Pelodiscus sinensis: one gene and its partners. The protein of the gene in region 4 purifies or fractionates together with the protein of the main gene of each other region. This does not show direct contact. Links are inferred from orthologs where the notes say so. Each region holds a gene or a part of one and is shown on either strand. Other genes may lie near its edges.

The links. Proteins that work in one complex are often made in the same cells at the same time.
Region 1: the proteins of POLR3B (region 4) and POLR3E purify together in Homo sapiens (affinity purification with mass spectrometry; 8 studies listed by BioGRID and IntAct, counting the BioPlex papers as one, with this or other methods). This does not show direct contact. The link is inferred for Pelodiscus sinensis from reciprocal best matches to the Homo sapiens genes POLR3B and POLR3E.
Region 2: the proteins of POLR3B (region 4) and POLR3G fractionate together in Homo sapiens (co-fractionation; 4 studies listed by BioGRID and IntAct, with this or other methods). This does not show direct contact. The link is inferred for Pelodiscus sinensis from reciprocal best matches to the Homo sapiens genes POLR3B and POLR3G.
Region 3: the proteins of POLR3B (region 4) and POLR3C fractionate together in Homo sapiens (co-fractionation; 4 studies listed by BioGRID and IntAct, with this or other methods). This does not show direct contact. The link is inferred for Pelodiscus sinensis from reciprocal best matches to the Homo sapiens genes POLR3B and POLR3C.

Annotation. Positions count from the first base shown.
Region 1 is NC_134726.1:22,731,311-22,738,282, reverse strand, and holds the start of POLR3E (DNA-directed RNA polymerase III subunit RPC5), read right to left. Parts: upstream 3,004-6,972; 5' UTR 2,847-3,003; intron 662-2,846; 5' UTR 579-661; exon of another isoform or gene 560-578; intron 1-559. UniProt on the Homo sapiens protein: DNA-dependent RNA polymerase catalyzes the transcription of DNA into RNA using the four ribonucleoside triphosphates as substrates.
Region 2 is NC_134716.1:74,580,662-74,587,592, forward strand, and holds the start of POLR3G (DNA-directed RNA polymerase III subunit RPC7), read right to left. Parts: upstream 3,004-6,931; 5' UTR 2,713-3,003; exon of another isoform or gene 2,621-2,712; 5' UTR 2,612-2,620; coding exon 2,492-2,611; intron 1,658-2,491; coding exon 1,528-1,657; intron 1-1,527. Other genes in the region: acyl-coenzyme A thioesterase MBLAC2, read left to right, coding at 3,021-3,495. UniProt on the Homo sapiens protein: DNA-dependent RNA polymerase catalyzes the transcription of DNA into RNA using the four ribonucleoside triphosphates as substrates.
Region 3 is NC_134734.1:19,515,900-19,522,842, forward strand, and holds the start of POLR3C (DNA-directed RNA polymerase III subunit RPC3), read right to left. Parts: upstream 3,004-6,943; 5' UTR 2,822-3,003; intron 2,470-2,821; exon of another isoform or gene 1,940-2,469; intron 1,845-1,939; 5' UTR 1,825-1,844; coding exon 1,678-1,824; intron 926-1,677; coding exon 670-925; intron 1-669. Other genes in the region: E3 ubiquitin-protein ligase RNF115, read left to right, coding at 3,292-3,378. UniProt on the Homo sapiens protein: DNA-dependent RNA polymerase catalyzes the transcription of DNA into RNA using the four ribonucleoside triphosphates as substrates.
Region 4 is NC_134711.1:96,922,687-96,930,709, forward strand, and holds the start of POLR3B (DNA-directed RNA polymerase III subunit RPC2), read right to left. Parts: upstream 3,017-8,023; 5' UTR 2,957-3,016; coding exon 2,885-2,956; exon of another isoform or gene 2,884-2,884; intron 1-2,883. UniProt on the Homo sapiens protein: Catalytic core component of RNA polymerase III (Pol III), a DNA-dependent RNA polymerase which synthesizes small non-coding RNAs using the four ribonucleoside triphosphates as substrates.

The sequences.
Region 1 (6,972 bases), on a different chromosome or scaffold from region 4:
GTTCTTCCACTTTTTTAGTGGAAGAGCAAACAGGCTCTTTTGGTCACCCCTATATTCCTCTTTCCACAAGGAATAAGGTGGCTTCCAAAAGAAGGGTTCTTTTTCTGACATTTGGTCCAGTGTAGACAGGCCAAATGTTGGAAAAACCTCTTCCTACAGAATAATAAAAAAAAAAAAAAAAAAAAAAGCAGCAGTATAAGGATTGGGGATAGCAACTGACGGAGAGGAGGAGAATAGAGAGGGCAGGGCTTCAAAGAAGGGGCGGGGCAGTAGATCTTGGCTTGGTCTGTCATTTAAAAAGTGATCTTGGGTATAAAAAGGTTGGAGACCACTAGACTATTAGAAACCAGATTATTTTCAAAGGTGTAAGCATGAGTGTATATTTTACAGAATTAGAAATTAGTATTTCCTTTCTGCTTGTCCCAGTTCATAGAGTAACTCAGTTACTAGTGAAAACATCAGATAACGAATACATCAATTTTCAGTTCCTTTAAGGGTAAGAAATGTCTAGAGGATTGCTTTCAATAGAATATTAGTATGGTAAGCATATAAACATTACCTGATATTACCTGTATTACCTGATACAACAATGAATAAAATTAAATGCAATTAGATTCAGCCATTTAAAATGGGAAGCCATACAGACAGCTCTGAGCCAGACCTATTCAACAGAAATACAGTAATCAGAAGAAGAGTTCATGAACAATGGAAAAAGTAAAGGAATTAAATTAAGATAAACATTGGGAGAAATAAAAGATACAATATACAACTTAGTAGATGGTGCAAATACTATTTTTAGGTAGATTCTGGATTGCTGAAGGTATGTCCATCTAAAGAGCTCACTGTTATTAGTTAACTACATTTTAACACATCCCCTCCCCCCCCAAACAGCTGTAGGGTAATACATGCAAAGATCTCAATTTGCCTACAACTAAAACACTGTTAAGCGGGATGGGGTAAGCAGCTGATTAACAGCTGCTCAATTTAGAACAAGTAAAAAAATTCCATCTAATTTAAATTGCATGTAGCATTTAATGAGCAAGAATTCGATTGCCCCAAGTTTGAATTCAGCTAAAACAATGAGGTAACACATCTGTTCTCATTCTATGGGATCTTAAGATGGCCACAAGTGGACAGAACCTCAGTTTTGTGTCTCATCTGAAAGCTAGCATCTCCAGTTCCATAGTGCCCCCTCAGATATGGGTTCTTAACATGATTTGCACAAATAGATCCAGCAGCTCACAATTAACCTGCTTCTCTTTATGGCTAGAATGGAGGGGCCCCTGAAATTACTGAGGTACAGGGAGACCTGAAACATTTTTCTGGTGCAACATGGGGTCACGGTACACACAGAGATGGGAATCACTGTTCTACTAATATGCAGAAGCTCTGGTTCATAACCACTAAAAAGGGAAGAATGACATCTTCTGAATTAGCATTGTCACTTCCTGTAGCACTCAGGTTTTTCTTAGAGGTCTCTCATTCAAACACTGGCCCAGATCCTGATCAGGTGATGTTCAGCACAATGCCTATGTTAGTTTGAGAACTACAGGAAGACAACTGTGTATTTACAAGGTTCTCTCCTTCACTTTCTCCTTTTCAAAACCACATTCTGTTAATTAACCAAAACATTGGGACTGTGTGCATCAAGGCTTCTATTTCCAGTAATGGTTACTTCAGCCAGGCAGTACATGAACCTTAACATTTCCATAAATATCATTTGTGTACTAAATGTTAAGCTTGTTCTTTCAGTGTCAGGGTAGCTGGATGAATGAAATTAGTAAATAGCTTCTCCCTAACCACAGCATAATCAAAGAAAACCCAGTGCAAAGGGTAGGTCACCTGGTCAGTGAGTCAGTGAAAGCTCCAAATTACAGGCATGACACATCGTGCCTGGTATCTGCTGGGCCTTCATACTGGATGCCACCCTCTGCTATAAGAAGGTTTTTAATTATTTTTTCCAGCAGCTTGTAAGTCTACTTTCTCCCAGCACAATAACAGTAAATAGGGAATTACAGCAAAACATGTCAATTTAGCCAGCTTTTAAAACATAGGTTTAAACTATTGATTGCAAAAATCCTGCTCTGAGCAAGAATGACTTGGTAGTTTGAATCAGGATGTAAAGCTTTTCCTAAACAAGCCACAACACAGATGGCCAGAAAGAGGTGCATGTACCTGTGCCATTCACTACTCACTCTTCCAGGACAGGGGAAGCAGCTGGAGGGGCAGGAGTTATCAAACTCTGCTTACTGCTTGGGGGGAGGTAGGAGAAGAAGCCTCCCCAAAGAGATGGCCGATGTAACCACTTCACCTCAGGGAGAAGAGATTCCACACCTATCTACAATCTCATGTTAAATCTGACTCTTTCCTAGTCCTGGGATACTCTAAAGGCAAAGAGAGACGGTGCCAAGTCTTTTTTTCAATTCTTAGCCCATAACTAGACTTTGGTGTGAGGCTGAGACGACTGATGTAACCATGCAGCAATCGCACGGAGGGGACACTGCACGCCCCCCCACATACACAGGCGAGAGGCAGAGAGGAAGACTGATTGATTGATTACAAGCAAACCGTGTGAATTTCAGCAGTCATCCCCGCATCATTCCGGGGGAGGGGGGGAGATATGCAGAGCATCCCCAACCCCTGCCCAGCTATTCCCAGGTCCCCCTCCCCAGGCAGTTCCCGGCGAATGAGTTCAGACTCCGGGAGAGTTTTGAGCTCAAGCCCAGGAACTGCAGCAGGCAGCGCGCACCCCAGCCCAGGCCTTGCAAAGGAACGCGCCCCGCAGCAGCTGCAACGCCCTGCGCAGCACTAGGGGCCGGAGCCATGCACCACACAAGCCCCCCTACCTCGTGGCGCGGGGTCCAGGGGCAGCCGGTCCCCCCCTTCGGCGCGTTGCAATGGGTTTGCGGGTCCCGGGGTCTCTTATGCAGCAGCCATGTTGATGTAACTCCAGCAGCAGACACGTGGGGAGACTAGTTCCTCCTCTTACCCACAATGCTTCCCAGGCGGGGTCAAGGTTCTCCGCGTGGCAGCAGGCGGCGCTGTGCGGTCCCCTGCAAAACACAGAAGCACAAAAGCTTTCTGGCAGCGGTGGGATTCGAACCCACGCCCCCGAAGAGACTGGAGCCTTAATCCAGCGCCTTAGACCGCTCGGCCACGCTACCGACATGGGATGTAGCTCTTCCTATAGTGTATTCATTTGATGGTTCGTATTTTTTCCCTTATAATTTTCCAATACTGTAGCTTCTGTATAGTCAGAAGCTTTGGAGGTATATTCAATTATGGAGAGTCTTTCACATAGAAATGAAGGGCTTGAATGCACTTGCTTCCATTATAGATTTTTTTTGTTTAAAAATAGTTTTTTTCAGAAGATAAACTATTTTGCAACTCAAGTACATGAATAAGCTCAGATCACTGATCTAGATAGATAGTAAGAAATAATATTAGCAATAGGTACAAACAGGTAAGTTTGGCTAATCAGTATTTTTGCATTTAGATTGCATTAATTAGAGCAATCATTCCAGAGCTCCCGAGCTGCTTGAAGTTCTGGAGGGATGTCCCATTGCTCACTAATAGTGTGGGCATGTCACTGTTCCAATGTGAAACAACTAAGTATAAAAATGGGTGTCAAACTTTTACAAAACTCAGTATCCTAGTACGGCAGTGTAATAATGTGATGTCACTGTGTATCAGAGAATTGTCATACAGTAGCCCAATGAAGCTTCTGTTATATAATGCCACAGTGCAGCATCAACCCAAAGTTTTGCAACATTACAATGCAAATATCAAGCCTTTGCAACATCACAATGCCATGAGTGTGAATTGTCCCCCCATAAGGGAGGCCTGCAATTTGGCAGGAAAAGCCTACATTTCTGGTATCTCTTGCCCGGGATGTTCTAGTTTGATGTATTTTTTTCTTTCTTGAACAATTCTTGCTGAAAAATCAAAGCCTGGTTCATTTGAAAAGCTTATAGCCTCTAGGCATTTTCTTCTCACTGCTGTGTGGTAAAACAGCCGTCTAAGAAATATAATTTATGCAATCATGTGCCGAAAGTGTCCGTCTGCTATGTACATTGGACAAACGTCTCAGACACTTCACCAAAGGATCAATGCCCACAAAACAGATATCAGACAGGATCACAAAGAAAAAACAGTTTATTGACATTTCAACCAGAAAGGACATTGTCTCAATGACTTGATTTTAAGACTTCACTTGAAAGAGAATCCTCTGAACTGTTATTCATGCTTAAATTCGACACTTTACACTCAAGTGAATAAAGACGCTAATTATCTTCCCCATTACAAAGATAGCTTCCCCAATTATCACCTCTAATATCATTAGCTCACAGACATTTACCTCCCTTCATCCATCCCCCTTCTGTTCTGAAATTTGATTTGTCCTTTTCATATGTGTTCATTTTTTTAATTGTGTCCTTTGGTATATATGGTTGTGACAATTTTCTTTCACTATTTGATCTGAGAAAGTGGGTCTGGCCCACGAAAGCTCATCACCTATTAAACCATCTTGTTAGTCTTTAAAGTGCTACATAGTCCTGCTTTTTGTTTTGTCTAAGTTCATAGCATTACAACAATGTGAACCTAATGCAGAAAAAGAGAAAGAAGAAGGGCATACTGGAGACTGGTACTTTGAGTTGGTGTCTGCTGCGGAGTCTCTCTCTCCACATAAGTGTGTGGAAGATCTAGAGCCAGTTGATGTAAAACACACTTTCTTTCCTTCTTTCTCCATCAGTGGCAATGTGGGGGCAGGGAGACTGTGTCTAGACTGGCAAGTTTTTCTACAAAAGTAGCTGCTTATGCGGAAAAACTTGCCAGCTGTCTACACTGGCCGCTTGAATTTCTGCAAGAACACTGACTTCCTATTGTCTGAAATCAGTGCTTCTTGCGGAAATACTATGCTGCTCCTGTTTGGGCAAAAGTCCTTTTGCGCAAAGCTTTTGCGCAAAAGGGCTAGTGTAGACAGCTCAGATTTGTTTTGCGCAAAAAAGCCCCGATCGCTAAAATGGCGATCGGGGCTTTTTTTGTGGAAAAGCGCGTCTAGATTGGCACGGACGCTTTTCTGCAAAAAGTGCTTTAGCGGAAAAGCGTCCGTGCCAATCTAGATGCTCTTTTCCACAAATGCTTTTAACGGAAAACTTTTCCGTTAAAAGCATTTGGGGAAAATCATGCCAGTCTAGACGTAGCCGGAAAGTCTGTTTAGGGAAAGAGAGGGTGGAAAGAAGTCTGCATGGAGCAAGCCCATTAAATTGTAATCCACCATGATTTAAGTCTTTAATTTGGGCAGTTCATTTAAGTGGAATTCTGGTGCAACTCCAGAACCCTCTTATTGCCTGGTCCACCTGATAAATTCTTAAATTCCTTTTAATGCCATAAAGTATCTGTTATCTTCTAGAGCCCAGCCTTTCCACTGCCACAGATCTTTCTCCCCGCCCTACACACAAACCTATCTCCCAGCTTTCGGGCCTTCTTTCTTCCTCAGAAGGTATACTGTCCCTAGTCTGGGCTGCTGATGCTTTTCAGGAAGTGTTAACCAAGATACACCCATGTCTACTTGCTTTCAGTACTGCTGCAGCAGTCTCATACACTCAAATGAATTCCTGGATGCTATTTACAATCATTTATCTCAATCAAGCTCCTTTCACTTACAGTGAATTCAGTTGGTTTATTTTTCACATCCCTATGTGTGAGGAGAATCAGGTTTGCAGGCTTTAACTGGTCATACAGAGCGATTCACCAGGTCCCTGGACTGCTTAACAAACAGGCAAAAGAGTATATGGAGACAGGCTGGATTACTAACTTTTCCATGATAAAGGAGGTGAATGAAGCATGCATTTACACTTCTCAAAAATGGCTGGAAGAGTCCAAATTGACAGCCAAAACCTCAGATCAAATTTGTTCTCCCTGCAGAAAAGAAGTTCGGCATGTACAATTTGTTCAGGATCGTTATACTAAACAGGTTACTAATACCATTTTATACCTACTATGCTATTTATCAGCAGTCCAGCTTGCTTCAGTTCACATCACAGGGAAGGCTGGGCTTTTAGGAGCAGTTTCTGCTCAGTGTCCAGGGACTTTAAAAGCAGAATGGGACCATTGCCATATTTATGTGAGCTGTGATTTCATCATTTCTCCCAAACTAAAAAGGATTGGGTTGTATGTTTGCCAAGAGTGTCACTGAGGATTCAATAACTGGCACTCTTTACACTGAATCAACACTGATGCAGTGTTCCAGAATGGTGTTGAGATCACACTGTCCTTCAGAAGAGATGTACCCCTACAACTGAGACTCTGACTGAGCCCAATTACATTCTGCCTGCCTGCATTCCTAGGTGTTTGAACTAAGGGAAGGCACAAGCAGGCCTGGGGCGCATAGTAAGATTCCAATTTTTCTCTCCTTTCCTTAAGCAATCTCTTAAAGTGCTAGAGATCAAGGATGTTTTTAACAGAACACATTGTCCTGAATGTCCTAGTCTTTCTTGTGTAATGAAAGCTAAGTTGTCTTTTTTCTATAAGAAACTCAGCCTAGGAAGAAATACCACACAGTATCTGATCTGTAACCCTGAGGTGCTTTTAGGATTACAACGTGTTTGGGATGAAATTTCCTCAGATTTTGAGTGTAGTAATACTTTGAGCAAAAGGTTTGCCTCAGGTACCAATTATAAAGATGCATAAAAAGCCCTGCCTTCTCTCACACCAGAATTATGAGATCAAAGTTTCTCCTTCCTTGCACAAACACAATAGAGCTCTTTACCCACCCTGCCTCTTTGTCAAATGGGACTGAAAAAATAAGATATTGGATGTGAAGTGTGGATTGCACTAGTAGAGTTATGCTGAAGAAACATAGTAAATCTGTGTTTGGATCAAAGACTTACACATGGAAGATGCACCCTTCACCAAATCTGAATTTTGAAAAGCTAAGGCAACCTTTAAATCAGCTTCCGTACGTAATGATTG
Region 2 (6,931 bases), on a different chromosome or scaffold from region 4:
GAACATTTTAACCTGCCTGGGCACTCATTAATGAATTTAAAAGTAGCCAATGTTCTATAAAGGAATTTCACTAGCCAATTCCAGAGAGAGTGTGTGGAATCCACATTCATCTGCATATTTGACAATGTTTTTCGGGGATTGAACAATGACATTATCTAAATGTCGCATTATAAAGCCAGCCCTGCCTGCATTTAACACCTCATTTTTACATCAAAAGCTAGGTATAGGACACATCCAGCCCACTTAATTAGCCTCATCAGCACCCATCCTACACTTGACAGGTATCTATTTTTTCTCCTCTTCTTCTTCTGTTATAAATTCTCCAGCTCATCTGATGAAGTGGGTTTTGCCCGTGAAAGCTCATGATACTGTCTATGTATATTTGTTAGTCTCTAATAGGGATGTAAGCAAAAGCTTATCGAATAGCCGACATACAATAAAAGCCAGTTCTTCCCAGCTCCAGCTCTGTGGAAGGAGGCAGGGGTGCAGTGGCATTGGTCCACCTTGGAAATGTGTAAGAGCCCTGCTGAGGCTCTTGTACATTTCAAAGCAGAAGCACCCTATGGAGCCAGGGACCAGCCAGGGAATCAGCATCCCCTGCTGGCCCCAGGCTCCCTTCATTTCAACCTTGAAATGTACAAGAGTCCCTGCTGGGGCTCTTGTGCATTTCAAATGTGGAACACACATGGCACTTACACCCTTGAAATATATCAATAGCTGGGTGGGCTCTTGCTACATTTCAAAGCAGAAGAGCCCTTATCGACTAATCAAATAGTTGATGGAAATTCCATCGATTATTCAATTAGTTGATTAATCTAATTTTAACCCTAGTCTCTAAGGTGCCACAGGCCTACTAGTTTTTAAAGTTATACACTAAAGGCTACGTCTAGACTGGCCCCTAATTCCGGAAAAGTCATGCAAAGCAGGTAAGTCAGAATAGGGAAATCTGCGGGGGATTTAAATATCCCCCGCGGGATTTAAATAAACATGTCCGCCGCTTTTTTTCTGGCTTGGGGAAAAGCCGGAAAAAAGTGTCTAGACTGGCGCGATCCTCCGGAATAAGGAGGAAATAAGAGATCCTCCGGAATAAAGCCCTTTTCCGGAGGATCTCTTATTTCCTCCTTATTCCGGAGGATCGCGCCAGTCTAGACACTTTTTTCCGGCTTTTCCCCAAGCCAGAAAAAAAGCGGCGGACATGTTTATTTAAATCCCGCGGGGGATATTTAAATCCCCCGCGGATTTCCCTATTCTGACTTACCTGCTTTGCATGACTATTCCGTTTTATGGGGCCAGTGTAGACGTAGCCTAACATAGCTACACTCCGAGACTGGTGTTTATTTTTTAGTTACAGCAAATTTAGACATTACTTGTAACTCTCCTAGCTGCAGAAGTTTCTTAGTAAAATGTAACTTTCAAGTTGTCATTGTCCCTATTTAGTGTCAGTACTACAGCTTGAACATAAAGACTAATTATTACAGTTTCCATACACAAATACATTTTGCTGATTTACATTTATGCAGAACAAACCTTGTTTTTCATCTTTGCTTGGCATAAAATAAGGCGTATTTTTCATACTTCCTCTAAATTCTTGCTTCAAGGCCAACATATAATCTTCTTCTTCTCCCATTTTCAGAGGCACTGGCTTAAAACCTGTTGACTGTGTAAATTAAGGTACATAATTGCATTAATATCCATCACATACAGCAACACATAAAACTACAGAAAAAATGCCTCTACTTATGGAGGAGTTCAATTATGTATTATACTAGTTTGCAAATATGTTTCACTGCATTCTGACAATATGTTCAGAACTTTATAATGCATATTTTTCAATTAAATTGTAAAAAGGATTTCTTTCTTTTTAATATATCCATCATGAAAACCTCTATTAGGAAAGGAATAAAACAAGAAATATCTAAAACATTTTTAACATAAAAACATAACATTCTAATTCAATTGACTTTAGGTCAGTGAAGGTGCACATCACCATTCACTCCACCCGCCCCCCCTTTCAAATGTCTCAGGCTAGCTGACTTGCTCTGAAGCCCTTACTGCTGCTAACTTCAGTGAGAGCAATTTCAACAACACCACTTCCCAAAATATGGTTCAATCTATGCTAAACATAATTAATCTGACCAATATTTTAATCATGTTAGTTATCTCCTGGACAGCAATACAATTTAACAGGTCTCAAAAAAAAAATCATCCCACTGTGGCCTTGTCTAAACTAGAGAACATGGGATCTGTAAAGCTCTCACAGTGCAGCTCCAAGACAACACAGTGTAAACACCTCAATTCTTATAAACGGTCTCTCTCTGCTGTTGAGATTTCTATCTCTGGGAACACACAGAGACGTGGATTAGCTACTTTCAAAACTGATTTATTAGATTTTTTCCATCCATTTAACGGTTCATTACCTAAATATGAACATGAAACACTTTGTTCAGACATGCAACTTGTTCTTAAAATGAAGCTTGTTCTCTTTACTTACAGGAAACAACGGAGGGGGCTTGAATGCTACTTCAGGTAGCGTTTCACCTTTGGAAAAGCCAATAGCCTCGATGTTGAAAGTAAATGCAGCACGTCCTCTTCCTTTTCCTGACCCAGCCATTTGGAATTACTGAAAATATTATTAGATTCTAGTTGCATCACAAAAAATAAAGCCAAAAGTAAGATGGAAAAAAGTCAAAGACTGAGAAAAGGTATTTTTACATTGCAAGTGTCATACCAATGATGATCTCCAGCTTGGAAAAAATGTGGGTCTGTCTAGAAATCAAATGGGACTCCAGACTCCATTTTTAGCTATTAATCAAACATGAAGGCGTTTTAAAACTGAGACTGTGGGAATTTAGTTCTGTGGGGCTGGGCGCTCAGTTCCAGGCACAATTTTAAAAGATGGGAACACGTGTCAGCCAGCTCCACCCCCGGCGACGCTGCCGCAGCCCGCAGTGGGGTGGGGCGCCGCGCAGGCTCCTCCTGGGGGCGGTGGCTTCGCAGTGCTGGGCTCGCAGCGGCCCGGCATGTCGGCGCTGGAGTGGTACGCGCATAAGCCCCTGGGCGGCGGCATCTACTGGATCCAGGAGCGGTTCTACGAGTCCGGCAACCGAGCCAACATCTGGCTGGTGCGGGGTTCGCAGCGCGACGTAGTGATCGACACCGGCCTGGGGCTACGCAGCCTGCCCGACTACCTGCACTCGGCCGGGCTGCTGGGGCCGGGCGCCGGGCCCGGGGAGGCGGAGGAGGCAGCGGCGGGAGGGGGCAGGAGGCCGCTGCTGGCCGTGGCCACCCATGTGCACTTCGACCACGCGGGCGGGCTGCACCAGTTCGACGAGGTGGCGGTGCACAGCGCCGAGGCGGGCGCGCTGCTGCGCGGGGACAACTACGAGACCGTCACCTGGCTGTCGGACAGCGAGGTGGTGCGGCCGCCCAGCCCCGGCTGGAGCGCCCGGCAGTTCCGAGTGCAGCCCGTGCAGCCCACCCACGTCCTGCAGGAGGGTAAGGGGCGGGCGGTCAGCGCTGGGGTGGGGAGCGGGGTATGTTCATGGCGGGAGGGCAAAGCTGCACAGACACTCCATAGGGCACCTGCCCTATTGGGGGTGGGGAGGCATATAAGGCGGGTGAGTTGGGCATGTGTATACGTGCCTGTGCTTACACTTAGGTCACTAGCTGCTACGTGTCTGTGTGTAAGTCAAGTGGGGCTGGGGTGAGTTGTGCGTCTCTGTCAGACAACAGTATGTAGGTGCATCACTGCGAGTTGGATCTGTACAGTACTTGAGGGGGGTACTGGGTGTGACAGTACATCGGGGTATGTCTGCCTTACCGTCTGTGGGAAGGAGTGCATATGCTGCGTTTGTGTCTAATCAGTGCGTGTCCATAGATGTGCATGTTTCAGATCTGCATCTTTAACTTTGGGTTGTGCAAAATGCTTCTAGACTGAACATCGGTTTATATACACTGCGTCATGTTTATTTGTATCTAAATATATATATATCACTTTTATAGTGTTAGTATATTGTACTTGAATCTAAAACAATTTTTATGTAAAGGGGTATCCTCACTGGATCTGTTATGCTACATTCCACATTTGTGATCTATGTTTGTACCACATATAGTAATCAGTTAATTTATAATAAGTGATCAGGATGTATGTTTATAGTGCATGTACATCAGTGTATTTCAGGATTCAGCTAAAAGGCTTGAATTTTTTGTTGTTGTTGCTTTGGGTTTGTTGGCTTTCTATGCCTGTCCAAAGATCTTACTTAATACTACTAACACTATAAGTCTGAAAGAATTTTGATTTTGGTGGTAAGTATCAGGGGGGTAGCTGGGTTAGTCTGAATATGCAAAAGCAATGAGGAGTCCTGTAGCATCGTATAAATTAACAGATTTATTGGCCGCATAAGCTTTCTCCCATGAAAGCTTATGCTCCAATAAATCTGTTAATTTATGACTATAAGGTGCCACAGGACCCCTCGTCGCTTTTGGTGGTAGTTTACATTAGGGATGTAACAGTGTAGTTAATGAACTGATAAGCAAAAGTTTATTGGTTAATGCTATGGACTAATGGACTACAAATCTCCGCCCTCACACACATGCACACACTGGGCCAGTAAATTTTTTAGCAGGCTGGTCTGCAGCCTGGCTTAGTACCGGCTTGCGCCAAGTCCAAGATCTACCCCTGCTGCGGCTCTGCATTTTAAGTGTATTAGGAGCCAAGCGGGCATGCAGCCCAGCTCAGTTTCAGCTCCCGCTAGATCTGGGAGCTCAGACCTCACCCTGGGCAGAGGCTGCTGCCACCCTGCGTTACTGCCTGTGTCTCAGAGGTAGCAGTGCAGGGCGATAGGTAAGTTGGCCTGCAAGGGGAGCTGGCGTCTAAACTGGCTCCCCTCATGAACCAGCTACCACCTGACACCCCACGCTACTGCTTTTGATTCTGATTATCAGAGATTATCTGATACTGAGATTCACTAAAGGAAGATATTTATCAACTGTATAAGGCAAAAATTATTCTTCCACATCTGTTACAATTCGGACTTTCCTGCAAGATATCTGGGGATTAGAGGGAGAAAGTGATAATGCTTTGCTCTAGCAATCCAGATAAAAACACACACTAAGTGTTTTTCCTCTCCCATGGGAAGCAGGCAAATCAGGAGCTGATAGCACTGCCAGGAATGGCATCACCTCCCTGTCTTGCATCTTCTGTTACAGGAAGTCTTTTTACTGCAGATGAATGGACTATGGATATAAAGAAGTTTGGAGAAGATGTGGTGATGCATTCTTCCATCATGTACAGCAGGGATGGTCAATAGATAGCTCCGGAGACAAAATTGGATTGTCAGATGCTTTAGAACAGGCATGTCAAACTCGAAGCCTACTGAGGGCCGCACAAACGAAAACGGATAGCTCTCAGGGCCACCAAAGAAAATGTACTTCTATCAGAAAGTCATAACTGTTTATTATAGATTAAGTTTTAGGTATATTTTATAATTTTTTTTCAGGTCTTGTTTTAATATAACACAATTTGTTGTGAAAAATTATTTGCCCATGTGAAATAACTTTTAATCTAATATATAAAGGAGAATGTTTGTATGTTTGTGCTCTAATAACTTGGACACTAAGAGCTACTGCAACCAAACTTTGCATAGGATAACCTTTCCTTCGGGAGAAGGTTTTAAGGTACTGTGGGAGGGTGTGACGGGGGCTCCACTTCCCCCCACACTAGCTCCGCTGGCGGCAATGCGCTCTCAGGCTGCTGCTGTTCTGGGCCTATGGCACTAGCACAGAGGCAGCATGCGGAGGACCGCCCTCATGGTGCAGGCGTGCCTCAGCTGGCGTGCAAACCGGCGGGCAAGTGGACCCAGGGACAGCAGGGATGTCGGCGTGGAAAAGGGCGCTGGTGGTTAAAACCAGTGCCGGGCCAGACATGGCGGGGGCGGAGAGAGAGAAGAGGGAGCAGGGTTGGCTCTTTTGCATGCTGCCATTTCCCCTTCCCTTCCCTGCCACCTCCCTAACTACCTGCCTGTGTCCCACCCGGAGAGCCCCCTGCTCCTTCCCACCCCTCACCCACCACTTCTTTAAATTTCATCTGTGCTCCACACAGATAGTGCCCCACTCCTCCTCTCCCTTCTCCCGCCACTTCCCTAACTGCCAGCCTGTGCCTCACATAGAGAGAGAATCTGATTTTCTTCCATCACATCTGTCCCAAGTACCACCCTATCTAATATGTAAAGGAGAATGTTTATGCGCTAATAACTTGGACACTATAAGAGCTACCGCAACCAAACTTTACATGGGATAACCTTTCATCCAGGAGAAGGTTTTAAGGTACTTTTGGACCCAATTGGGGTCCTGCCCTGCCCCCCACAGCACCTGTGGCCCTGGGCAGGAGCTGGGGCGCCCCTCCTACATGTAACCTCCCAGGACTTGCCCCCTCCTGCCCGCAAGGTTACATAACCGACCCTCTTTTTCCCCCCCTCCCACCCCTCTCCCGCCGGCATGCAGTGCCCCCACCCCCATGTGCACAATGGCTCAGGCACCTGCCCTGCCCCGCCCCCCGTGGCACCTGCAGCCTCAAATTTTGCACGGGGCGTCCCTCCTGCGTGTAACCTCCACTCCACCCGGGGTCACTCACCACCTGCCACCATCCTCCCATCCAGAAACCAAAACCAAAGCCTTTCTGCTCAGCTCATTGGGCTTATCTGAGCAGAAGAAATCCGTGTGCCTGCTGCATCGCAGGTAGGAGGGGCCATGTTAAACCCTCAACGTGTTACACTGCTGTAAAGTCAGCCGGCTGCTGTTCATACTGTGAGTGGGGCTCTTCTGGGTCTGGTTCCAGCCATTGGAGTTAGATGTGAGCTCTGAGCTTTTGCTTGCCAAGATTGGGCAGGTGGATCCCTGAGCCAACCTTGCAAAGAGAAATCTTCTTGCTACT
Region 3 (6,943 bases), on a different chromosome or scaffold from region 4:
ACCAGTGTTTACACTCTGGAATCTGTATAGCACTTGTCATTTGGTTAAATGTTTTTATGCCCACTGTACAGGTGGGGAAGCTGAGGCATAGCAAGGGGGTCTCTCTAGGTCATACAGTGAGCCAGTGGTAGAGCAGAGAATGGACTCCCAGGTCTCTCTACCATGCTGTCTCTACACATGTCTACTGAGAGAAAAAGAGAGTAAAACACACAGCAAAATAAATCATAGTCAAATGGTCTGAGCACAGGCCTGGGAGCTAATTCTGTTCCCAGCTTTGACAGTGATTCATTGTTTGAGCTTTGGCAGTGCCTGCTTCGCCTCGTGCCTCAGTTTCCACATGCTATAGCATGTGGATCACAATACTGATCTCTCCTGAAAATGCTTGGAAGCATCAGTGTTGTGTACTGCCTCTTGAAGATGCTCCATCCGGACCTGACCTAAAGCCCCCTGAAGTCAATGGAAAGATTCCCATTTACTTCAGTGGACTTTAGACCAGGCCCTCCATCCAGCTGGAAGCCATCCAATCCCCTTTCGTTGTGTACAGAACTTGAACACTGTGGTAGCATGAAGCATCAGCTCAGCAGCCTCAAAACTTGCCAGATAGATAAGGCACTGCAGCAAAAGATTTCCGCTCCCTTTTCAAGCTGTCTCCACACCCCACTGGCTCACCCTCCATAGTTTCCGTCAGCCTGTCTGCAACCTTCTGCACCACAGCGCTCATGGTCATTTTGCCGTTCAGCAGCAGCTCCTCCACAATCAATTCACCCATGTCGCTGTAGAGGGTCTTGGCAGTATAGATGTAACGTGGATACCGCAGGATCCTCAGCACCCGACTGCACAGAGCTTCGTACTCCACAATGCCTCGCTTCTGCAGCTGGTAGGTCACCAGGTTATGTTGAATGAGGACACAGAGAGCTTTCTTAACCTGCACATGCCAGAGAAAGGAATGAGAGCCGTACTTGGGGGAAAATCAACCCTCATGCTTGAGGTCTGATCACCTCAAGGATCAGGAAGGGAATGCCCTCCCCTCCTATATTTAGGTGCTTTAGCTCCATCCATAGTCTCAGGAAGGGCCATTAATTTCCCAATTAGCACTGATCATTAACAATGAAAGATAAAGCTACTGAGCATTCACCAGATCATCTTTATTTGGAAGAGAGCAGGGTGATGTTTGACATTCCTCAGGGGCTAACAGAATTAAGAGAAGAAGAAACCTGGGAGATCTTGTCCTAATCAAGGCAGGGCCTGGGAATCTCAACTGTAGTCCTGACTCACAGTGCAACTTTAAGCAAGTAAGCTTCACTTCCTTATTCTTTACAAGCTGCACTAACTTCATCTCTTGTCCTCTCCACACTCTGTTACACTAAATTAGACCACCAGCCTTCCCTTCTGGGGAGAGGTAAGAGCTCAGAACCAATCTGTTAAAGCCAATGACAAAACTCCCATGGATTGCAATTGGTACTGTTAAAGAAACAGATTTGGTTTTAAGGAGACATGTTCAAATTCTAATTTGCCTTTTGCAAACGCATTTGGAATAACAGAATCCTTCAGGAGGCCTAGAAATGGTGACAGACAAGTTTTAATGAGCAAATAATAGTTCAGTCAGCTCTGCTGAGTAGCATTTATCTAGCATCTGTGATCCAAGGGAGGATAACTCCTAGCGGATTCTAGACATACCTGATCTAGCAACATCCCTGTGTCCTTGGCAATCACTCTCAGTGGCTGGCTGCCTGTTTTGATAAGGTGAGTCCCTATCTTTTCCACGATCTCGCCAAAATGTTCTTGCAGCAGGAGGGAACAGAGTTTAATTTCTGCTTGAGTCATCTTGCCGTCAAATTAAAATACTAGAAGGATATGGGGGAAAAACATTTATTAAAATTCTTATCAGGTGAGACAGGAGAGTGCAGGAAATGTGCTGGTGGGACGCAAAGATTTTCACCTCTCAAGTCGCCTGTTTGATTTGGTCTATCAGCAGAGACCAAAAGTTGTTCCCAATTCAGGCTTGAGAGGAATGCAGTGGGTTCGAGGCTCAGCTCAAATAAAAAATGCCTTCACAGCCAGTCCGCTTTAAGTCAAACCGGGCAGGCACGCAAGCACCCCCAGCAAGCACCGAATGAGCCACGGTGACGAAACACAGACTATCCCCCGAGATGATCCCGGCAGGGCAGAGTGGGGGAAACGTGTCACACGCTTCCCTAGGGCTGCGCCAGTTCCGCAGGGAATCGGGCTCGCCAGTGGGGTGGCCGGGTGTTGAACTGGACAGTCCAGGATTTGAGCCTTCTGTGGGGGAACCCAATGGAGACAATAGAACGGAGACAAGGGACGGGTCCGGTCTTTGCTACACGAGAGGCCGCGGGCATTGTGACGTCATGGACATTGTGACGTCACGTCCAGGGTTTCTGTGGAAACCACCTGGCAACCCTGCTGGGCCGTTGGGCGTTGATTTTAAAATGGGGCCTGCCCCGTGGGCAGCACTAGGGGAGCTAACGAACCCCTGGGGGGAGGGTAGCACGGGGGGGGGAAGGAGAAAGCGGCGGGGGGGGGGGGTCTAGCGAAGCCAAGGACCGGCGGGCGGGCGCCGAGAGCTCAGCAAACAGCCCTTCGCGGCTCAGCGGTGCGGCCCCATGGCCAGGACAGGGCGCCCCCTCGGCGGCGGGATGCTCGAGCTCCGCTGCCCGACCTTGGACGGTGACAGGGATGAGCCGGCATGGGGCTGGGGGGCAGGCCGCTCCGGCTGCCTTCATGGAGCGGCCTCCACAGTTCCTTGCCCCCCCCGGCCAGGCAGAGCCCCCTCCCCCGTTGCCTCAGGGCTCCCACTCACCTGGGATCTCAAATTGGGGAGGGGAGACGCCTAGGCCCCTGCGGCAACCATAGCAACCCCTTCCACTTCCGGCTCAACGCGGGTTACTTCCGGTCGCCTGCCATGGCTGCGATCCGCCCTGGAGGCCGTCAGGGCTACAGCGCCGCTCTACCCGCCCCCCGCCAGGCTCGTTGGTTGCGCATGCGCATCGGCGGAGTTTACGGCGCGACGCTCTATCCTCCCCCTTCCGCCTGGTCTCGCTGGGACTTGGGACACGGAAGAAGCGAGGGGCGCCGCTCTACCCTGCAGTTCTCTCCTTGCTCTGGCGTGGCGGAGGCCTGACTGCTTCCTACCCCGGCCCAGCGGAGCACCAGCGAGTAGGCGGAAGCGGGCGGCTAGAGCGGCCCCCGCCGCTCTATCCGTGCGGGCCCTAGTCGCGGCCCGCGGAGGACTGACGGCAGGCAGGGAGCCGGGGGAGGGGGAGAGAGAAGATGGCGGAGGCCTCGGCAGCGGCCGCCGTGTCCCAGCATCGCTTCTTCTGCCACAGCTGCAAGGGGGAGGTCAGCCCCAAGCTGCCGGTAAGGGGCGGGGCGCGGACCCCTCGTCCCCCGCGGGGGGGGCCCTGCACCCCCCATGGAGGGGGGCCAACCCCGATCCCCCCCCCAGGGGCGCAGGCCGGGGGAGCGTTCAGCCCCTGTCCTCGGGGCAGCGGGGCCAGGCGGGAGAGGCGCCGCCCCCGCCCCTCGCATGAGAAGGGGGGGCTGAAACCCTGTCACCGTGCAGGGGGAGGGGGCTGCACCCCCCCCCCCCATCTGCCCTTCACTAGGGAAGCAGGAAGTGCGAGGCCAGTCCCCAGTGTCCCGGGGGGGGTCAACTCCTCCCCCCCCCAGGTAATCCCTGGCCTGAGGCTTCTTTCCCCCCTCTCTGTCCTGCCCTGGGGGGCACTGGAAGGGGAGGGGGGCACTGGAAGGGGAGGTCTTCAGCCCCCAGTTGTCCTCCAAAGAGGTGACAATGCAAAGGGCTCCCTGCCCCGCTTCAGGCCGAGAGGTGAAACCTCAAGCTTCCCTGGCCACTAAGGTGTGGGGTAGGGATGTTAGATTTTGGTTAATTGACTAGTCGATTGACCTCATGAATTGTTATCGGTTACTCGACTATTCTATGGCCCCGGGGAGTGGGGCCGGCAGCCAGTGCGCTCTGGCCCAACTCCCAAGGAGTCCCCTGCCACGCCGCGCTGCTACCTCTGTATCAGAGGTAGCCATGTGGACTGCCAGGCGGGAGCTGGTCCGCAAGGGGAGCTGGTTTAAAAACCAGCTTCCCTTGTAGCCCCAAACCTTTGATACAGAGGCAGCAGCGTGGGGTGACAGCAGACCCTGTCCAGCAGGTGGGGGAGAGGGGGATCTGAGCTCCTGGACCCAGTGCGAGCTGGAACTGAGCCAGGCTGCTGGCCCCGGCTGCTAAAAAATGTACCTGGGAGGCTGGGGGGGGGAGAAATGCGTGTAGTCTATAGCATTAGTCGATAAGGTTTTGCTTATTGGTTAATCGACTACGCTATTACATCCCCAGCTGGGAGGGCGTATATCCTAATCCTCCCTATGGAGAGAAGGGGAAGAGACACTTGTAGGCACATCAGGCACTTACCCCAGAAAGCAGAAGGCACCTCTCTCCTGATGCTCTAAGAGCCCCTTTGGGAACGTAGGGATGGTTAAACCCTTCTGAGAGTGGAGATAAACCATAGCTCACCCTTCACAGTGGCTCCAGGCCTGCTAGATAGCAAGGGCACCCATTCTCTCTAATGTTGCAGGAAAGCCTCAGGGGAGAGGCTCAGTGGCATAGAATTGTAGAACTGGAAGGGGCCTCAAGAGGTCATCTAGCTCGGTCTACAACATCAAGGGAGGACTCCCAATTCCTACAGTGAGAAGAGCAAATTTCAGTTCCGCAGACCAAGGATAAGTAGAGGCTGAAGCACCGGAGCTCCTCCTCATGCCGTTGGAGAAGAGTTTTCCTTTTGAGTACCCTCTCTGGACATGTGTATCCTAGTAAAATAGTCCTGTATCTCGTTAGAGTTGGTGGTATGTGTGGTGTATTAGATGGACTGTCACAAGCAACCCCGGCACTTATGCAATAGGATGAAGGAGGTGGGTGGACCAATCCAATCTGTGGTCTCCATTTAGATCCAAAATGGTTAGTCAGAGGTTGTCCTTATGTTCCTGATGTTCTAGTTACATCACACACCACAGCTTGGCGACTTCCTGGCTGTGGAGATGTCCTGGCGAAGCAGGAGGCTATTTGAGGAAAGGAACAGATAATGTAGCTTGGCCAGATTAGATCAGACACATAATATCTTTTTTCCTGATATATGGGAACGTGTGGAGATTCTCTGTTGAAAGGGTGCCTCAGTTTCCCCACCTGTAAAATTAGACTATCTACCTACCTCCTGAGAGAGCAGGTGTAGGAAGATTGTAAGGCTTTTAATATTTGTGATGCACTTTAAGATTCTTGGATGAAAGAACTTAATGAAGAGCAAGCTGCTGTAGCAAAACCTCATCAATCTGGATCCTGAAACAGATGCTGTCCTCCAATTCCTGGGTATTTCATAGATGATGGACAGCTTTTAGTTATCCAGACTGATTCAGGGTCATACTGACATTTAGGTAAATGAGATGGTGCTGTACTATTGCTTTTCCCTTCTGCACCATGAAAGGAGGTAAGAGGATGCTTTGGAGATTTTTGTTTTACTTTAAAAATCATTCATACATGACAGGAATGATGAGCCAGAAAATTTCATTAGCTTCCATTACAGGTAGCTCACCCCTCTGCAACTGCATATAGTCCTGTTGAGATTGGTGCTTGTCCATCCGAAATGCAAATTGATCCTTTAGCTCTCTGTTTGCAAACTCACCCTGCATCCCCTCAAGGTAGTAGCCCAGCTTTCTGGTATTTTCTCTTCTCTTTCTCCCTCCCAAATCATGTTCGACTCCCTCTTTATGCCTCTCGCCTCTGTTGCTGACTTAAGCAGTTTTCTCTCCTATGTTACAACTGTCCTTTTGTTATAAAGCAATGCTGCCCTAAATTGCTCACAACTAATTCTCTTCCGTAACTGGGATTCAGGATTTCCTGATGCCATTAGTGAGTTTTTTGGAACAAGAACTCCGGGCCCATGTATGAGATACATTGTTCAAATATTCACAGTATAAACATGTGAGCATTGACTGCCTCTTTTCTTTTGCCCTGTTGTATATTTCTATAAGCATTCCTACCCAGGCCTCTTTATTTCTAAGTCAGAGTCTTCAGTTTTGCTCTGCATGGGCATTAGACATCCTGGACTCTTTATAAGATTAATGGTTTGACTTGGCTTTTATTGTTATAATTAGGAGCACCCAGAACCCTAACTGGGATCAGGGCAGCATTGTGCTAGTCCTCTCCCACTCTGTAGTTGGGAACTGTGTTGTTCTCTTGAACAACTGCTGTCTTCACCCCGCGGGAGATGGTGTGTCACAGCATTCAGGTATTCTGGAGGATGATATGGACTCTAAAAATGTGAGCTATTATTACCCAGACTTTATAAATAATATGTTCAGGATTTATACCTGCCAAACCAATGAATTGTTTCACTTTTTCAACCTCTCCAGTATTGGGGTGACAACCTCTTTATCTTCTGCTGTTCCTGTCGCACACAACCTGATGGGAACCTGCTTGAATTAAGGATCACCCCTCTTTCAGTCAGCTCCTCAAGTTCTGGGGGGAGCAAGAGATATCCCATCATGCTCCAGACAACCAGTAATGTCATGACAAGGCAGGTCAGGGCCTATTTCTGAAGTAAGACTCTCTTATGCTCTTTTGAAAGCCTGTCATTGTGAATCAGCCTGTGTAAACTTTCCTTAAGGAGCGTGAAACTGGGAGGATAACTCTTTAGTTCTAAAGTTGACTTGGGCTCTGACTCGCTTTGTAGCATTGGCCATGTCACTTCCTTGCTTTGTGCCTCAAGTTTCCCCATCTGTAAAATGTGGCAAGCATTGGTTTCATGGGGCAATGGGCTGATGTTTGCAAAGGGCTACATTAGGATTTTATTTCAGATCTCTGAATTGTCCAGTAGAAGTCCACGGACCTGTTTATTTCTAGGGTGAGGTAGCTCAGACAGTGACT
Region 4 (8,023 bases):
CTTGAAGGAACACAGTTTACATGTTTTTAAACTGACTAATTTAATAAAATACAAGCTTATAAGAAAACACCATTTAAATACTATGTCCTGATTAATTTTTTAAAAGAAAAAAAGAGACACTCCTTAAAAATGTTTTATTTTCCTATTGATGTTTATCAGGGTCTTTTCAGCGAGAGAGAGAATTATGGTCCTAATCCTACAAATACTAATATACACAGCCAAACACAAATTGCTGTCAAATGTACAAATGTGAAAACATAAAAGACTTTTTTCTTTTAACGTGTTTCAGCTGTACAGGAATCTCAGATGTTACTACAATTAAAAAATAGGTTCTAAATATTCAGACAAATGTGACTTGTGGGTTGACAGTATGTCTAACTTTACAAGTATTTCAAGATTCAAAGGCAGCAAAGATTCTTAACATTAAATAATTCAATTCTAAAATTAACTTCAAATAAATAAAAAAGAATTGTCATGGATATGTATACTGGAGTGTGGAGTCCCAGATATATTGTTTCACTAGCTTTCAAAGACATGAAATTTAGTTAATTTTTATTCCGTCATTCGTTGTTTAAGATTTTTAGTACAACTTTGTTATTCACAATTCCACAAGAGAAAAGCAAAAATCATAAAAAATAAGGGAAGCAACTTAATGTTTACATTTCAAATCTAGGGAGGAAAAATTGAATTCAAATCAAGTTCTGTTTCCCTCCCCTCTCCCCTCTCCCATGTTTAAAAGGGATACAGCAGGATTTATGACAAACTATTTTGGTATGTACAGTAAAACTCCAGTGGTCCGGCACTCCTGATGGTCCGGCATCATCTGGAACTCGGAAGTGCTCCGGGCAGCCGGACCATTGGAGCTGCTCTGCCCCCAGCTTCCCCGATTCAGCCGCTGCTTAAACTAACCAGTGGCTGACTCGGGGAAGCCGGGGGCAGAGCAGCTGGGGTGCTACCGGGTTGGTCCCGCAGCGCCGAGGGGCACAGCCCCCCAACTCCACCCAGACCCTCATAGGCCCCCTTCCTATACTCCGGCATATCTGATAATCCGGCACCCCCTGGGTCCTAAAGGTGCCGGATTATTGGAAGTTTACTGTAGTAGTTTGAACAAACATGAATGTGGAGGAAGGTGAATTCAATAAAGAGTTATAACTTTGCATGGTTTACCCTATATGATAAACTCATGCACGTCACAAGTAAAACTGGCACAAAATTAGTTTCAGGGCAGCTACAAGAGCAAATAAAATCATGATGGAACTAGTGTGCAAGTGGCAGCCTCAACCCTTTTGTGCCTACTACATATAGGCTTAATTCCATGAAGTACTGAGCATCCAACATCCCCAGGCAGGATAACCACCTTCCCTAACTGGATGGCACAGTCCCACCAACGTACGTTTCAAGTCCTGGTTCCAGGCTAAATGATTCCCATGGTGCCATTCTGCACCTACCAGAGGCTTATGGATAGCGTCAGCCTATTTAGTCAGGTGGGCTGAAGCTCTCTTTCTCCACAAGGTTTTGCCCCCTGCTCCTCCTCCCCATCCCCCGCCAGAAGCTGGTGCTAGATAGTAATAAGAGCTGCTCACAGAGCCCAGGTCCCTGTGTGGAGCCCTGGAGACTCAGACCTTGTATCCACCAGTTCCTGGGCAGCACACCCCATGGGGCAGGGACACAGGTTTGGCACCACTCTTATGGACTCTGGCTGCCCATTCAGGGCAGATGGAAGGTCTAGGGCTCCCCATAGTGACCAAAGATCCCTGGGTAGCTCTTAGCACAGTTGGCTCCAAGTTTCCAATCTGGCTGGAGGAGGGTTTCTGGTGGAAGTGGAGGACCCGCAAAAGGGAGGGTTCTTGCATGCGTCTTCTTTTTGCATTTTGAAAAGATGCTCACCCTACTTGCAAGCAAAATGCAGGACAATGTAGCACTTTAAAGACTAACAAGATGGTTTATTAGATGATGAGCTTTCGTGGGCCAGACCCACTTCCTCAGATCAAATAGGAAGTGGGTCTGGCCCACGAAAGCTCATCATCTAATAAACCATCTTGTTAGTCTTTAAAGTGCTACATTGTCCTGCATTTTGCTTCAACTACCCCCAGACTAACACGGCTACATTTCTATCACTATCCTACTTGCAAGATGAGGCTCAAAGGGAGCATATAACAAGTTAACCTTGCAATGGAATACAGTGCTGAGCTCTTTGCATTGTGCACCTTGATTTAAAGGCTACATTTCTGACACCTCCCTTCTGTCCACTAAGCCACTAGCAAAAAAAGGAACAGAGGATTAAAATCTAAAAATGCAAACCCAGACAGCACTTTTACCCTGAAGAAGGAGGAGAAGTACCAGAAATGCCACAAAGTCCGGGAGGAACACTGCTATGGCTAGCAACTTTTATGTTGCTCACGTGCTATGGTGGTGCCTGATATCTCAGCGGGGGTAATTTCACACACAGCAAAGTTGCAGCTTGAAGAAGAGGTGGCCTCAATTAGCACAAGATGTTAGATATCAGCTTGTTTCTATGATGATGGTTAGCAGGAGAAGTTGGGTGACCAGATGTCCTGATTTTATAGGGACGAGTCCCGACATGTGGGGCTTTATACAGGTGCCTGTTGTCCCCAAGCCCCGGGGGCCACCTGGCAAAGCAGCCAGCCTAGAAGAGCGAGCTCCCTCCCTTGGGAGAGAACTGGGCAGCGTGGAAAAGCCGGCGGAGCCCCGCGCATGCGCCACAGCTGACTCGGGGACTCGGTCTCCAGAGCCCCGAAAGCCCCCTGCAGCCGCACCATGGGGCGACGCGCATGCGCAGCAGGGGGCACAGCTCGCGGGGGCTCCGCTGCTCGGGGCCCGCCCCTCCTCTGCGGGCTGGCGGCGCCTTCACCCCCTCGCTCACCTCCACCGTGTTCACGGGAGCCGCCGCCTGCTCCGGGGTCAGAGTCCCCAGCTCTACCGCTAACGCGTCCATGGCGAGCGCGGCAGAGAGGCGAGCCGGGAGGGACACGGCAGCTGGCGGACGCTCCCCGCGAGGGACACGCTGTGCGACGACGAAACCTGCCCCCTCTACAACAAGAGGCGCTGCGGAATCGTTCCGTCTCTTTTAACGGCCCGGGGGAGGGGGGAACGCGCCCGCACTGTGCGAGCAGCTTCTCCCGGCTCAGGGGCCCGGAAGCTGCCTGAGTGAAAATGTCCCACTGAAGCGTCCTGGGGTGGGGGGAGGGGTGCAGCAGGCTCTCCTCTAAAATCAGCTCCCCAATCCCACCCACACTCCCAGCCAGGCCTGGGTGGGGGTTGAGTGCGGCATGTGCCACGGAAAGTTAAACTTCTGCTGTTCAGCCACCAGGGGGCGCGGTATCGTGCCGGGCAGAGCATCGCAGGCTCCGTCGGAACGCACCTGGTACAAAGCCAGCACGTAGCCCCTGCATAATTGTGTGGCAATATTATTCCAGTAGACGAGTCCCTTGGTTACTGTTTGCTGGACACTGTATTGCATGGGAAAGCCGCTGTTACCGTCTCTGTAAAGTCGGGAAGAACAAATGAGCCAGAGTTGTAGTCTGCACTTTTCCCCCCCCCCCCCCTTAGCAGTCGGCTAGGATTTCAGAGGGTTAAGAACTAAAATAGTCTCTCAAATACTAGGCAAACCAACAAACTCCAACTTTGACCTTCTGCAGAGAACAAAGGTTTGAAAGTGCCGATGCAGTCCCATTATCTTCTAAGGGTAAGTTTATATTCTGCAAAGCGACAATGTCAGTATGCAACAGTCGTGATATTTTTTCCAGTTTTAATGCTGTGGTGCTCTCAGCACTTCAGTTATTTCCAATTTTATGTTCACAATACTGTGGTGAGGTAACAAATTACTGTAATCTCCGTTTTGTAAATGAGGAACAAGAAAAGTGATTTGCTCTCATCTCCTGAATCCTACACTGATGTACTTTAATCACAAAACTCTCCACAACAAGCATTGCAGTTTTCCTCAAGAACTTTTTAGGTTTGGAATTGCAAGGCCACCTATCGACTCAATGTATTGAGCCTTATATGTGGATTTTTGGGATTCTCAAGAGAAGCTCAGAAGAATACACACAAATCACATTCCTGTCTTTCAGTGGAGGTGGATTTTCCAGTTGAATAAAACAACTGTTTACTAGAAGCATCAACATGCACAATAAAAGTCCCTATGTTGATCTTGTGTTAAAAGATGTATGTAATAATGTTTAGGCATCATTCAGAAGCAAGGTCACACTGGAGACTTAAACAAATCACTGTATGCTTTCTAAGAAGACGATAGTCATATTTCAATAATAGTTTGCACCTCTGATGCACCCAAGGATCTCTACTATGCAAACGAGTAAGGAATACAGGAATTGCCACATCCTCTGTTCCATTATTCTGATATCATGTCTGGTGCTCATAAATGGCCAATACCAGATGTTCAGAATAAAGTGCAAGGAATACCACGGTTGAAAATTACATAATAACTTGCCCCAGGGGAAGAGTTTCTTCTTAAACTTAGTAGTTAGCTTATTCTGTAAAGGAGGAGATTAGATATCCTAACACTTTTATCCTACTTTATACAACTACGAATGTTCTTATCATCCATTTTTAATCTTAAGTACTTGTCCTCAGTGATATTTTGTTGGTAATGAGTTCCACCCATACCCCCTAAAAACACATCCCAGTTTTTAACATCTTTGGATAAAACAAATAGAATCATTAGTGCATGCTGTTGTTTTCCTCAGATAGATGACAACCAAGTGGGATAGTTAAAGATGCAAGGCCAAGCAGGCTGTGGAGTTTGCAGTAAACTGTTTTATTACTATTAGAATTCTGAAGGCTGTGTAAGTCAATAGTGTTAAACTAACAGTTAGTTTGGACCAGAGTTATTTCTTTAAAAACTGACATGTTGTGAACTGGTTTTACAAGTGATGGATGCTGCTTTATAGTAAACATTTCTAGAAGCATTAGGTCAGAGACATCTAACCTACAATATGAATGAAAACATTTAAAAGGGAAATAAATCAATCCATGCAGTTGATGGGCTCTTAACTCAGAAACAGGAAACCTTGATTTAAATAATCAGTTACAGTCTTGTTTTGTATTTACATTTTTTTAGTTATTTTTCCTCAAGAAAAGCTGGTTTGGACTGGTTGGTAATCCCTGGGGGGAAAAAAACTATTTTAAACTAAATATAACCTTTACAAAAAAATTTAAGATGGGGGGGGGGGGGGTTGTACTAAACTAGGCCTCTGTGTGTGTGTTTATACACAACACACACTTATTTTAACAATTATATAGCTTAATATACCTGTATTCAGTGTTTATTTTTACATTTATGTTAATACATCATTCATCCTTTTCTATTTACCAGTTAATTTAACTTGTGGTTTGTGTCAAGATTCATTTTGCAATAATGTATCAAATAGCTGAATGCATTACATTTAAACTGAGAAGCAGCTTGCATGAATGACTTCTCACCAAAGGTTTATCATAAACTTTTAATGCCTACAAAAAAATGCACATCACAAAAATTCATTTGTACTTCATCTACTAAAGCTGCTGCTACATAATTTGCCTGTTTTCAAGAAACAAAATTCAGATTGGAAGTTGCATGCTCATAGTTCAAATGTAACAGACAAAAGTTAGAAGAAACATCTACATCCAAATCATTATTAAAATGTATCCTAATTGTAATGTTTAAGTCATCACCAACATATACCATGCTATAAAATGCCCTTTTAAAAAGTCAAATGCAAGCAAATTATTGTATCCTCATTTTCTAGTAGGAAGTTACAGTGACAATTTCCCAGAGAGATTAGAGGTTTCTAAACTAAAATATGTTCCAACAGGTCTCAAAGTAAATTTTTTTTGTGTAGAAAATTTTTCTAGGAAGTTTAGAAAGATAAATCACTATGATAAAAAAGTGTTACGATACAATTTTTGTACATGTTAAAAATAAAATCTTTTCTTTAGGCCCAGCGCACAAATTTAGATTTCCCAAGGTTAGGGAATTACTAAGAGAACTCTCCTTTTCAGCTTTTGGGATATATTCGTCTCTTGATACATATGAATTATGTATGTAAGCCCCATATTCATGAAGATAACAATGTACTACTTCACAATGTAACAAGCGTGCAAGTAAGAACTCCTTTCAATTTTGAGTTTCTCAAATTGAAAAATCTGTACTCATCTATTTGATGCGATATTTTTAACAAGGTATAAAGATGAAATGGCGTGAGGAGTCATTGAGAAGTGTTGCAATTTGAGACCTTTTAGTCTCCCTTCACTCCCATGTGAACATAGAGAGAATTTCAGTAGTAGTTTTTGACAGGTGTCCAAAAGAATGTTCACTTAATACATGGGTCTGCTATTGCTTAGTCCCACATGGAAACAAACAAAAAACAAAATTAAAAATCCTGCTTTGTTTTTCCTGGGAGATCAGTACTAGTCTGAGACATTGTCTAAAAAGCATATTTCCCTGTTCAAACAAACAAGCCTATTTCTGTAAAAAAGGAGATTGGACTAAAACCCATAGTGCTACTAATACCCAGATGTTTTAGATCTTCATGAGAAATACACCAGTTGTACTGTATCTTTATATATTATGTATGGCACATTAATCCTATATGGGCAAAGTTTATTTTTAATTAAAAATATACTGTATATAAAACATTAGGAAGATACTTGGAAACTTGTACCAGACAAAGTTTATATTTTTGACATTTAAAAATAGGACTAATTCACTATAATAGTCTCAAATACTATCATTATATATTTGATTAATTCTGATCAAGATAGAAACATTTTACATTGAATATTTCAGCACTCATCTCCAATAATGTGAGAGATGCAAAATAATGTGTGTACATTGTGTAGACTTCTAGAAGCTTATTCCTATATCAAAGGTCCAATTCAACAGTCTCTGCAAGACCTCAGTGACTTTATAGGGCCTGCTCCAAAGCCCATTCATGACAGTATGGCTGTGTCTACACTACACCCCTTTTCCGGAAAAGGGATGCAGATGAGACAAGTCGGAATTGCAAATGAAGCGGGGATTTACATCTCCCCCACTCCATTTGCATGAACATGGCTGCCGCTTTTTTCCGGCTCGGGGCTTTGCCGGAAAAAAGCGCCAGTCTAGACGGGGAACTTTCGGAAAATAAAGTCTTTTCCAAAAGGTCCCTTATTCCTCTTAAAAATCAGGAATAAGGGACCTTTCGGAAAAGGCTTTATTTTCCAAAAGATCCCATCTAGACTGACGCTTTTTTCCAGCAAAGCCCCGAGCAGGAAAAAAACAGCAGCCATGTTCATGCAAATGGAGCGGGGGAGATGTAAATCCCCGCTTCATTTGCAATTCCGATTTGTCTCATCTGCATCCCTTTTCCGGAAAAGGGATGCAGTGTAGACACAGCCTATGAGTCTAAGGTCTCAGGTCAACTTTCAAGCTGCAGTATTGGCCTAATTCATATGGAATTAATAGCTTTTGGCTTAAATTTTTAGAAATCAGTGATTTTTAATGCTGAACTTGAGACCCAAGAAAACTGAAGCATCCAGTGTCAGTGAATAAAACCATTACTCGCTTTTGAAATTTAGGTCCTGCTCCAGCAAGACATTTAAATATATGTTTAACTTTAAACTCAAATTGTTCCATTGACGTCAATAAGGCTACTCTTGTGCATAAATGCTTTCAAAATCAGAGGTTTAAAAAGTCCCAATTCAGAGGTGCCTAAGCACCTCTAAAGATCAAAGGTGCAACCACTGTATATTAAAAAAAAAAAAAAAAAAAAGCAGATTAGGTCTCCAAATTTTAATTAAAGGACAATATGACCTCTAATAGGTAACTTTTTTTTTGTTTGTCTAAGGAAATGGAAGTCAGCATCCAAGTTAGTTTTCCAAGGAATACAAATGTTTAAACTGTCATCTTTAAGTATTGGATCACATTAATTCTGAAATGTTTCTATTTTGCAAGCCCATATTCACACTATCATTGGTAAACTTAACACCAATACAGTAATGTTGGCATGTACTAGGGAAATGTATG